Linked DNA regions of Rattus norvegicus. The protein of the gene in region 2 purifies or fractionates together with the protein of the main gene of each other region. This does not show direct contact. Links are inferred from orthologs where the notes say so. Each region holds a gene or a part of one and is shown on either strand. Other genes may lie near its edges.

Region 1 (4,380 bases), on a different chromosome or scaffold from region 2:
TCGCAAGAACTGAACACAGTCCAATTTGAACCAAATCCAGAAAACCGAAAGGACTGTATACTGAACATTATCACTGTATTAACCGACACTGATGAAGCTAGTCAAGATTCAACCACAGCTACTTGTTTTCTACTTGGCTACCTATACAAGTTCCTGCCCTTTGTGAAAGTATAATTCAGAGCCTAACTTTAGCTAACCAGCACAGGTTCTAAGTCCCCTCATTTAGAACAAGAAAACTAGCCTTCGTCTAGTCTACTTGGAAACTTGCCTATCAAAGATCAAAGAAACATGAGAACCCTTTATTAGACATATATCAACTAAAAATTATCACTTTATAAATTTAGGTTTGCAGTGCTGGTATGATAAGATACCAGAAGAATTAATCTCTTTCTCTCAAAAGGTAAATTTGGAATCAAGGCCCCAAGATAAGTGAAATATTCAAGAATTCTTTAAAAAAAAAAAATGTATGCTTGCCCAACACAATGGTGCACATCTGTAAACCCACTTACTAGGATCCTGATACAGATCTTAAGTCCAGAAGTTTGAAACAAACCTGGGTATCAAAGAAAGAGCCAGTTTTGGGGTTGGGGATTTAGCTCAGTGGTAGAGCACTTGCCTAGCAACCACAAGGCCCTGGGTTCGGTCCCCTTCTCCGGAAAAAAAAGAAAAAAAAGAAAAGAAAAAAAAAAAAAGAAAGAGCCAGTTTTAAAAGAAAAATAAACAAACACCTGCTTCTGGAAAGAAATGAACCATTCTGCTGACACAGATTTACAATCTCAGCTACGAGGGAGATTAAGAAGAATCAACACCAGTTCAAGGCTCACCTGATTGAGAGGGAGCTCAATACCAGCCTGGGAAACTGGGTGGGACGTCTCAAAAGGGAAGGGAGAGCCGGGGTTGTAGCTCAGGGATGGAGGGCTTGCCTAGCATCACAGGGAGGTCTGTGGTTCAATCCAGTACGAGGGGTTAAAAAAGAGAAAGAAATAGCAGAAGCTCACTTCAAGGTACTTTTCCATTCCCTGACAATTCTACACCTAAATTCCTAGCACCAAAGGATGCCAGTACTTGATACTAAACCATTTCCCCCCCGAAAGCTTGGTAGAGGGAAAGGTAATGATAGACTACTGAAAACAAGAACAAAACATTTTTAATTTAGGGCAACCTCTTTTACCAAAACCCAAAAGTTACTTTATCATATCATATCAATCTGTCTGTCTGTCTGTCTGTCTGTCTATCTATCTATCTATCTATGTAAGCAACAATATAAAATTTAGCTTCCCTATGTAAATGTACAATAGTGTTCCTGGCTAATTAATCTCTAGAAAGATCTAAAAACAGAGGCTGCCAAATGTGTTGGGTAACACGTGTAATCCCAGCACATAAAGCTGAGACAGGAAGAGTGTCAGAACAGCCAGAGCTGGAATGAGGCCCTGACTAGAAAAGGCAAAGAGGATGGGTGTAAAAGTACATGAAAATATTTCCTTCACACACACACACACACACACACACACACACACACACACACACACACCTGAAGAACTGAGGTAGAGACAAGAATGTTCTACAAATGCCACAGAGCTTCTGGCAAAGTTGACATGCCCTAACCTGCTTTAAAAATTACTATTCACTGCCTTCACCCCAACCTAATTTTATTCATACTATTCTTTTGGATAGCTCTACCAAAAAAAAAAAAAATTCCCCAGAGCAAATTCTTGTGTATTTATTTCAATATCCTGCCTACTTATAAGAGCGGAAGAGTCGAACACAGCAGGGGAAAAACGTGACGTGCACAGCTTTCATCCAAAACACAGCTCGACGTTGTCTAATTTTGGGCCTAACCGGTTTGGCTGTCTTTTTTAAAAGATTAGAAATGAAAAGCTAGAAGATCCACAGGTCACTTGTAAAGAAGAACCTGGCGGCTATCGATGGGAGTTGGTGATTTGTCAAAGAGGAAACAAATCTCACTTCCACTCTACCTATTTCTATTAAGACGGGATGAGGAGAGCCTCCCACCAAGCCACAATGGTAATTATTTTAAACATTCTGTCTTGGACGACTTGATCTAGAACTATTCAAAAGGCTGAGTCCACTAAGTTATTTGCAGCAACGTTTTTTTGTTGAGTGAGGGCGCGCGTGTTTCAGACAGCCAAACATGGTGAAAAGCCAACCTCAGCCCAAGTTAACCTTAAGAAGCAAATCTTCACCTCCTGGCTGACGATCAAGCAAAAACTGTAAGATCCTTAAGTTCTGTTCTTAAGCACAGGCTCCCAGAGCACTGCAAAACTTTCTCCTAATGTGGAGAACGAGGAAGAGTTTACAGACTCAACTTAAGGGGCTCAGGATTCCCGAGCGACGAGGCTGCAGAGAACGCAGCTGGTAAAGGAGGGAACATCCAGAAACAAACCCGAGGCGTCCGGTGCAGCGCCGGCCGGAGAGAAGGGCAAGAGCGGCCGCAGTGGCCAGGGTCCCCACAGCCCCGCAAGCTTCCTCTCGGTCGAAGCTGAGGAGAGCCAAGGCGCAGACAATGAGCCACCGCCCGGAGCCGCGGGCCCGCCCGCAGGTGCCGGCGTCCGGAGCCGCTGGGCCCAGGCCGCGGAGGCGGGAGGAGGGCGGCGGCTCGGCCCGGCCCGGGCCAGCGGTGTTCGCACTTACCAGAGAGGAAAGGTCTCCGCCCGACCCAGGGCGGGCTGCCGGGCCGACGCGGGCGAGCACTGTGCTGGGGAGCAGAGAGGGAGGATGGCAGGGCGGAGAGGAGCGGCGCGGGGCGCGGCCGTCGCTACCGAGGCTGTGAGGCGCAGAACCCCTTGAGCCAGGGAGGGGAGGGCAGGAGCCTTCGGCAATGGCGACGGCCCGGGCCGGAGGGGAAGCGGAACAACCGCTGCCTCTGCGCGTGGCCACAACCCTGGGGGAGGGCGGCGGCAGGGCGCGGGGCGGGACCGTAAGATAGCCCCGCCCCTACCGCGGTCATGCCCCGAGGGGCGGGCTCTCACAGGGCTGCTGGGAACCGTAGTCCAGTCATTTGCCGGGGAGGCCCGGGACAGTGGGCATTAAGGAGAAAACCTGTCCCTCATTTAATTCTGCATTCTGCATTGTCTGCAGTTATGTTTTACCTACTGAAGATGTTGACGGAGAACACCTGATCCGTACATGTTTGTGTATACAGGGTGTTTGTTTCTGAAAATTTATCCATTCACCACTTGGCTCTTTTTGGGGAGGGGGTGGGTTTTCAAGACAGGGTTTCTTTGTGTTGTCACTCTAGTCCAGGCTGACTTTGAACTAAAAGATCCACCTGCTTCTGCCTCCTGCGTGCTGGAAATCACTGCCCAGCTCACTTTGCTTTTATTATTATTATTTGTTTTTTTTTTAACCTACAAATTTAACCAGATTATGCTGCTAAATTAGGCCCTCTCTCTTTGCAAAGATTTTTTTTTTAATTTTTCTGTTTTTTATCAATGGAGGAGTTAATCTATGTATTCTTTTTTTTTTTTTTTTTGTTTTTGTTTTTTTTTTTTTTTGAGCTGGGGACTGAACCCAGGGCCTTGCGCTTGCTAGGCAAGCACTCTACCACTGAGCTAAATCCCCAACCCATAATCTATGTATTTTTATTCCATAACTATGTCACTATCTAATATCTACAAAGGACACCATTAGGCACCAGAGATTTGAGGATGGGCATGCTTCCCCTAGTCTTTGTAAATTAAAGATATGAAAACATAATAATCAAAACATTGATACCCATTACAAGGTTAAAAAAAAAACCTGGGGGATTACTGTGGACAAAGTAGTCAGAGAAAGTAGCATTTAAAGTGAAAACAGAAAAGGAAACCTAGAAGGACTGAGGGGATGGGAAGTACAAGCAGGAAAAGGAATGCTATGGTCAGTGAAGACCCATGTAGGGCTGGGAGAGATGGCTGAACCGTGGAAGGCCAGGCTCACAGTCAAGCCACAAGAAGACTTGTGTAGCTGCAGCTTGGTCTAAGATGGGAAGGTTAGGAAGTACTACAGTACAAGATACAATTCCAGCACTTGGATGGCTGAAGTAAGATGAGGAATTAGAGTACTGGCAGGTAGAGGAAGGATAAGGGGATACAGAGTGACTTGGAGGTCAGATAAACTACATGATCCTGGAAGAAGCAAGACGATGAGTAACCAGTACTATGGCTGCTTAGGACAGTTCTGAAGTGCATATCTAGTGTGTACCATTTTATTCTCTGCAGCCTATCAAATCCTACATTCAGCCACCTGCTAGTAACATAGGGTGTACCCTTGATGTCTTAGTCAGGGTTTCTATTCCTGCACAAACATAATGACCAAGAAGCAAGTTGGGGAGGAAAGGGTTTATTCACCTTACACTTTCCACACTGCTGTTCATCACCAAAG
Region 2 (4,434 bases):
GCCCAAGGCCTGCCTCCTTCCCTGAGCGTCCAGGCACCATGTCATAAATGTAAGGCCAGAGTATCCCAGGCCCGTGCCTGCAGCTCCTAGCTTTGCAGTTCTGACTGGCAGCTTTTCCCAACGTTGAGGGTGTCTCCCAACCCTCTGGACTGGAGCAAGAGACACGCTCACCAGGGACACGCCCAGCCTCCAGGAAGTGTCAGAGAGCGCTCTGACCTAACGGCACACAGTAATACTCTTGTCACAAGGCGATTCTTGTGACACCAGATTCCTCCAGAACACGGAATCCACGCAATGGCCCACATCCTAACTGCAGTTGTTATTCCAACTTGATGGACCCTTAAATACTCCCACAAGATTTCAACAGTAAGGGGTTAGGGATTTAGCTCAGTGGTGGAGCGCTTGCCTAGCAAGCGCAAGGCCCTGGGTTCTGTCCCCAGCTTCAAAAAAAAAAAAAAAAAGATTTCAACAGTATTTTCCTGCATTGAACACATGAGGATTTTCAAACCTAAAAAGCCAAGATACACACACACAGGGAGAGCGTCTCAAGGAAGATGGAGCAACACATTGGTGAGATAGGAAAATAAGGAGTTTAATAATTGGAGGGGGCAGCACACACACTGCAGCAGTCACACCGGTGCGGTCTGCCAGCACCGGCTCCTGCAGTGTCGCAGGGAAGGAGGGGTTGGCATGAGGTGCACAGGGAGCGTGGGCAACAACTGGGAGGGAAGAGTGGAGCTTCAGAGGCTGCACGCAGCAGCATGGTTCAGAACGGAAAGTGCTTCACTAGAGGACAGGAAATGGCTTAATCCCCCTCATCCCTCACAGAGCGCGGAGGAGTTGGAGTTGGTGAGAGGCACCCTGTGCTGTGGGTGTCAGAGCTCCACCGCAGAGATGCAGGAGGAGAACGGGGTGTGTGCCAGCTTTAAAAAGGACTGCTCCGGGTGCAGATTCTCGCTCCCTGAGAGCCTGGAAGACACTGGATCTCAGAAGGACAGGGTGGCGTGCTGACACAACGCTACCACCCTGTCCAGGGTAGGGATACTCATGGAAGTCTCCAAGCGAATCATTAAGGCAGGTCTGTAAAAACTGTCCTTGGGGCCTGCACAGCCACCTCGGCGGGGTGAGGACCGCGTCAGAGATGGTCTTCGCTTGCTCTTGGCGGAGGAGCTGTCCAGCAACCCCAGGCACCAGTCGCCAGCAGTGGAGTTGCAAGGAGCGTTGTTCCTGAGGTGAGGTCCACTGTGACAGCGAACACACTGTCCTCTGCTGTAGTGTCTTTTGGGTCGGAGAGTGCTTGGGAAGCAGGGCTTACCAAAGAGAAAGAACACCTCAGCTTTTCTCACCCGGCACAGACTGGGCTGGTAAAATGCTAACAGGAGCGGGAGGCTCTGGTGGATCCTGACAGACGCTGCACCCAGCCAGAGTGTGGAGGAAGGAGAGCACAAAGGGCCTCCACACACCCACTCAGAAACCTGCACGGAGGACGAGCGGCCAGGAGCTGGGTCACAACCTAGGCTATGCTGAGGCCCCAGCCACACTGCTCCTCAGTGTTTAAAGACAAACACCTTTCTATGGGGAAGTATCTCTGACTTCAAAACAACCTCTTTGGAGAAAGGAAGGGGACAGCTAAGCTCCTGAGGTCACTGTCACTGTTGCCAAATCAAGGGCAAGCCTGGCCCAACAGAAGCAGGGCCTCTTGGAAGCCACCAGCCTTCCAGGGCCCATCTGGGCCTGGGGAGGCAGCAAGGGAGGGCGGGGGCACAGCACTGAGGCTCTCCGCGCTGCTCCAGTGCGGTGTGTATTGCTTTAGTCTTGCTCAGGGTTAAGAGGGCTCTCAGTGGCCTGGACAACGCTGGCTGCAGCCAAAGGCAGAGCAGAGGTTGTGGATGAAAACGGCCTGCAGCCAAACCCTGCCCGGCAGCACCGGCTAAAGAATATGGAATAAATAACACAACTATGTACAGGGCCAAGATACACCAGGCTAGCCCACTACTCCACACTGTGACCCAGGGCCCAGGCAGGACAGCGCAGCAGAGGCGGGCACCAGTCTCACCCTCCTAGAACCCATGGTGCCCTGGGTACTGCCGTAGCTCGGGACTGGAATACTGCAGTTAAAAGAGACACACAAATCCACTGTGCCTGAGTGCCTGCTCCTGATGGCACCAAGGAGCCTACACTGCACACGAGTCAGATGCTGCCCGGGCATCCCTTCACCTCTCTGCTTCCAACACTTTAGGAACACAACTTCAGATCCCTGTGGCCAGAAAGGCTGAGAAGGAAATCCTAGCAAGAGGGTTAGCCTAGTCACCTCTCAGGTACATGTTCATTCAGATCTCAGTATTTACAAGGAGTACACAGGTAAGCTATTTATAGATTCAACTCAAGTCCCAAAGCCGAGGACTCTGGTCAGTCACTGCAGGGAGAGGTGTACAGCGAGGTGCTCACTCAGCCCAGGCCTCGGTGTCTAGAACTCACATGTAGCTACTTCAGCAACAGCTCATCACTGCTGCTTGCCTTTTGAAGACCACCTCCTTAGTCCTGAATGTCACTGTGCTGGGGACCAAGGGCCCCAGCCTTGTCCAGGAGCTGCTGGTCTTCAGCCTATGAGAATGAAGTCAGCCTATAGATTGGTCTCATCCCAAGCAGGGTCGTTCATGTTCTTTAGAACCTTCCTCACCAGCTTCTCTAGGTCCTTGCGGGCCCTCTGTTCCTCCTCTAAGGATTTCTTCATCTTCTTGTTATCCTGTAAGGCAAGCAGACGAAAGCAGGCTCACTACCTCAGCACCCACGGCATCCCTCATCCTAGCTCAATCCTTAGGTCGCTAGGTTGGGGGGGGCGGGCTGGCCAACGAAACTGAACCGTGAATGTACTCTGAAGAGTAACGGCCATCTCCCACTTACACGCATGAAGACAACTTGATAAAACTGCCTGCCAGAAGGAAGGGGCTGGTAACAGTGTCAGGACAATGTTACTGTTACCATTTTTAATTCCTATCCAGCCAAAAGCAGAGCAGAAGCCCCAGCAACTGAATGAAGCAGGTCAGGAAGGAAGGACAGCACGCTGCCCCAAACGTGGGGAAGGACAGACAGGCACTGCCAAGTGTGTCCAGTTACCCCACCCTCAGGACATCGCTGCCCTGTCCCTCCAAAGCGCCTGCACTCCCACCAGCGTTGAACATACACATCACACAGTGGTTCAAGCAGTGAAGATGCTTGCAGGGCAAGTCTGACATCCTGAGTTTGATTCCAGAACCCACATAGAGTGAAGAGAACCAACTCCACATGTGCTATGCCACATGCTCCACCCATGTCATACATACAAAGGAATAAAGCACAACTTAAAGTTAGGCAAAAGACTGTCACACACATAGCTGGCTAGGTACCACAGTGGACAGCATCCTACATCACTCCAGCAAACCCAAAAGGCAGCAGTCGATACCCCAGGATTGGGGTGATAAGCTGCCCTGTGGATGTCAGCTGAGCTTGGACCTCACCCGCTGTACCGTCTCTGCAGCCCTCGCCCGTCACTGCTCGGAAAGGCAGTGGACTTTGTGGTTCCGTTTAGTACACAAAGAGTTCCGTGTTAAACAGTTCCCCTTTTCTCCTATTAAAACCAACTGATTAAAAGTAAAAACTGGTTGGCATACCTGTCGTAACTCTTGGACTTCATCCTTTAGTGCGTACACGGTATCCACGAGGCTCCTGGAACAGGAGAGTGAGTAAGCACACGAAAAAAGACAAAGGGGCAAAGACTGGCCGGGACCAGGGCCACCTCGGGCAGCAGAGAGCCCAAGCTCTGCCTACTGAGTCCCCTTGTCTAAATCTGTAACTTCAGAGAGGAGCCCACCTGGGTACCTCAGGCTAACCCCAAGCCTAGACGTCACCCATGGGATGGACTGGGGGCGTGGGGGGGGAGCCATAATGGAACAGAAAGCCATCTTACTTTTCCTCTATCACTGTCTGCCCGTTGCTTTTGGTTTCTTCGACTATAATTTTCTCTTCTTCTGGAAGCAACACTTGTGGAGCAGACTCTTTGCGTGAACCTGGGTCATTAAGAAGAGAAGTCCCATGTGAGTGCCACTGAGGAACAAGAAAGGGCACCTATGTCACTACACACCACTTACACAGCACCAGTGACTACAGTAAAGTTTCTGACCGCTTTCCCCCAGCTGTCTGCCTGTCGGGTGTGGCCAACCAAGACATCACAGAGCAAAGGAAACAGCAGAGGCGAGCTGAGTAAAAACGGCCTCTTTTGCCAACTTTTAACTTTTTAGATATGTTAATCTCCAACAGCAAGAACCAAAGGTCTGACCACACTGCACTCAGCACACCAAGTTTATTTAAACCATTCTAACACAGCAGCAGCGCTGGGAAGGCCAGACCGTCAAAGAATGCATAACTCTCGTGCTTATCAATGAAAAAAGTCTGGCA

The links.
Region 1: the proteins of Arhgef7 (region 2) and Pak2 purify together in Homo sapiens (co-immunoprecipitation; 5 studies listed by BioGRID and IntAct, with this or other methods). This does not show direct contact. The link is inferred for Rattus norvegicus from reciprocal best matches to the Homo sapiens genes ARHGEF7 and PAK2.

What each region holds. Positions count from the first base shown.
Region 1 is NC_086029.1:82,211,428-82,215,807, reverse strand, and holds the start of Pak2 (serine/threonine-protein kinase PAK 2), read right to left. Parts: upstream 2,874-4,380; 5' UTR 2,653-2,873; intron 942-2,652; exon of another isoform or gene 825-941; intron 1-824. UniProt on the Homo sapiens protein: Serine/threonine protein kinase that plays a role in a variety of different signaling pathways including cytoskeleton regulation, cell motility, cell cycle progression, apoptosis or proliferation.
Region 2 is NC_086034.1:84,372,556-84,376,989, forward strand, and holds the end of Arhgef7 (rho guanine nucleotide exchange factor 7), read right to left. Parts: intron 4,047-4,434; coding exon 3,947-4,046; intron 3,706-3,946; coding exon 3,651-3,705; intron 2,747-3,650; coding exon 2,624-2,746; 3' UTR 572-2,623; downstream 1-571. UniProt on the Homo sapiens protein: Acts as a RAC1 guanine nucleotide exchange factor (GEF) and can induce membrane ruffling. Functions in cell migration, attachment and cell spreading. Promotes targeting of RAC1 to focal adhesions. May function as a positive regulator of apoptosis.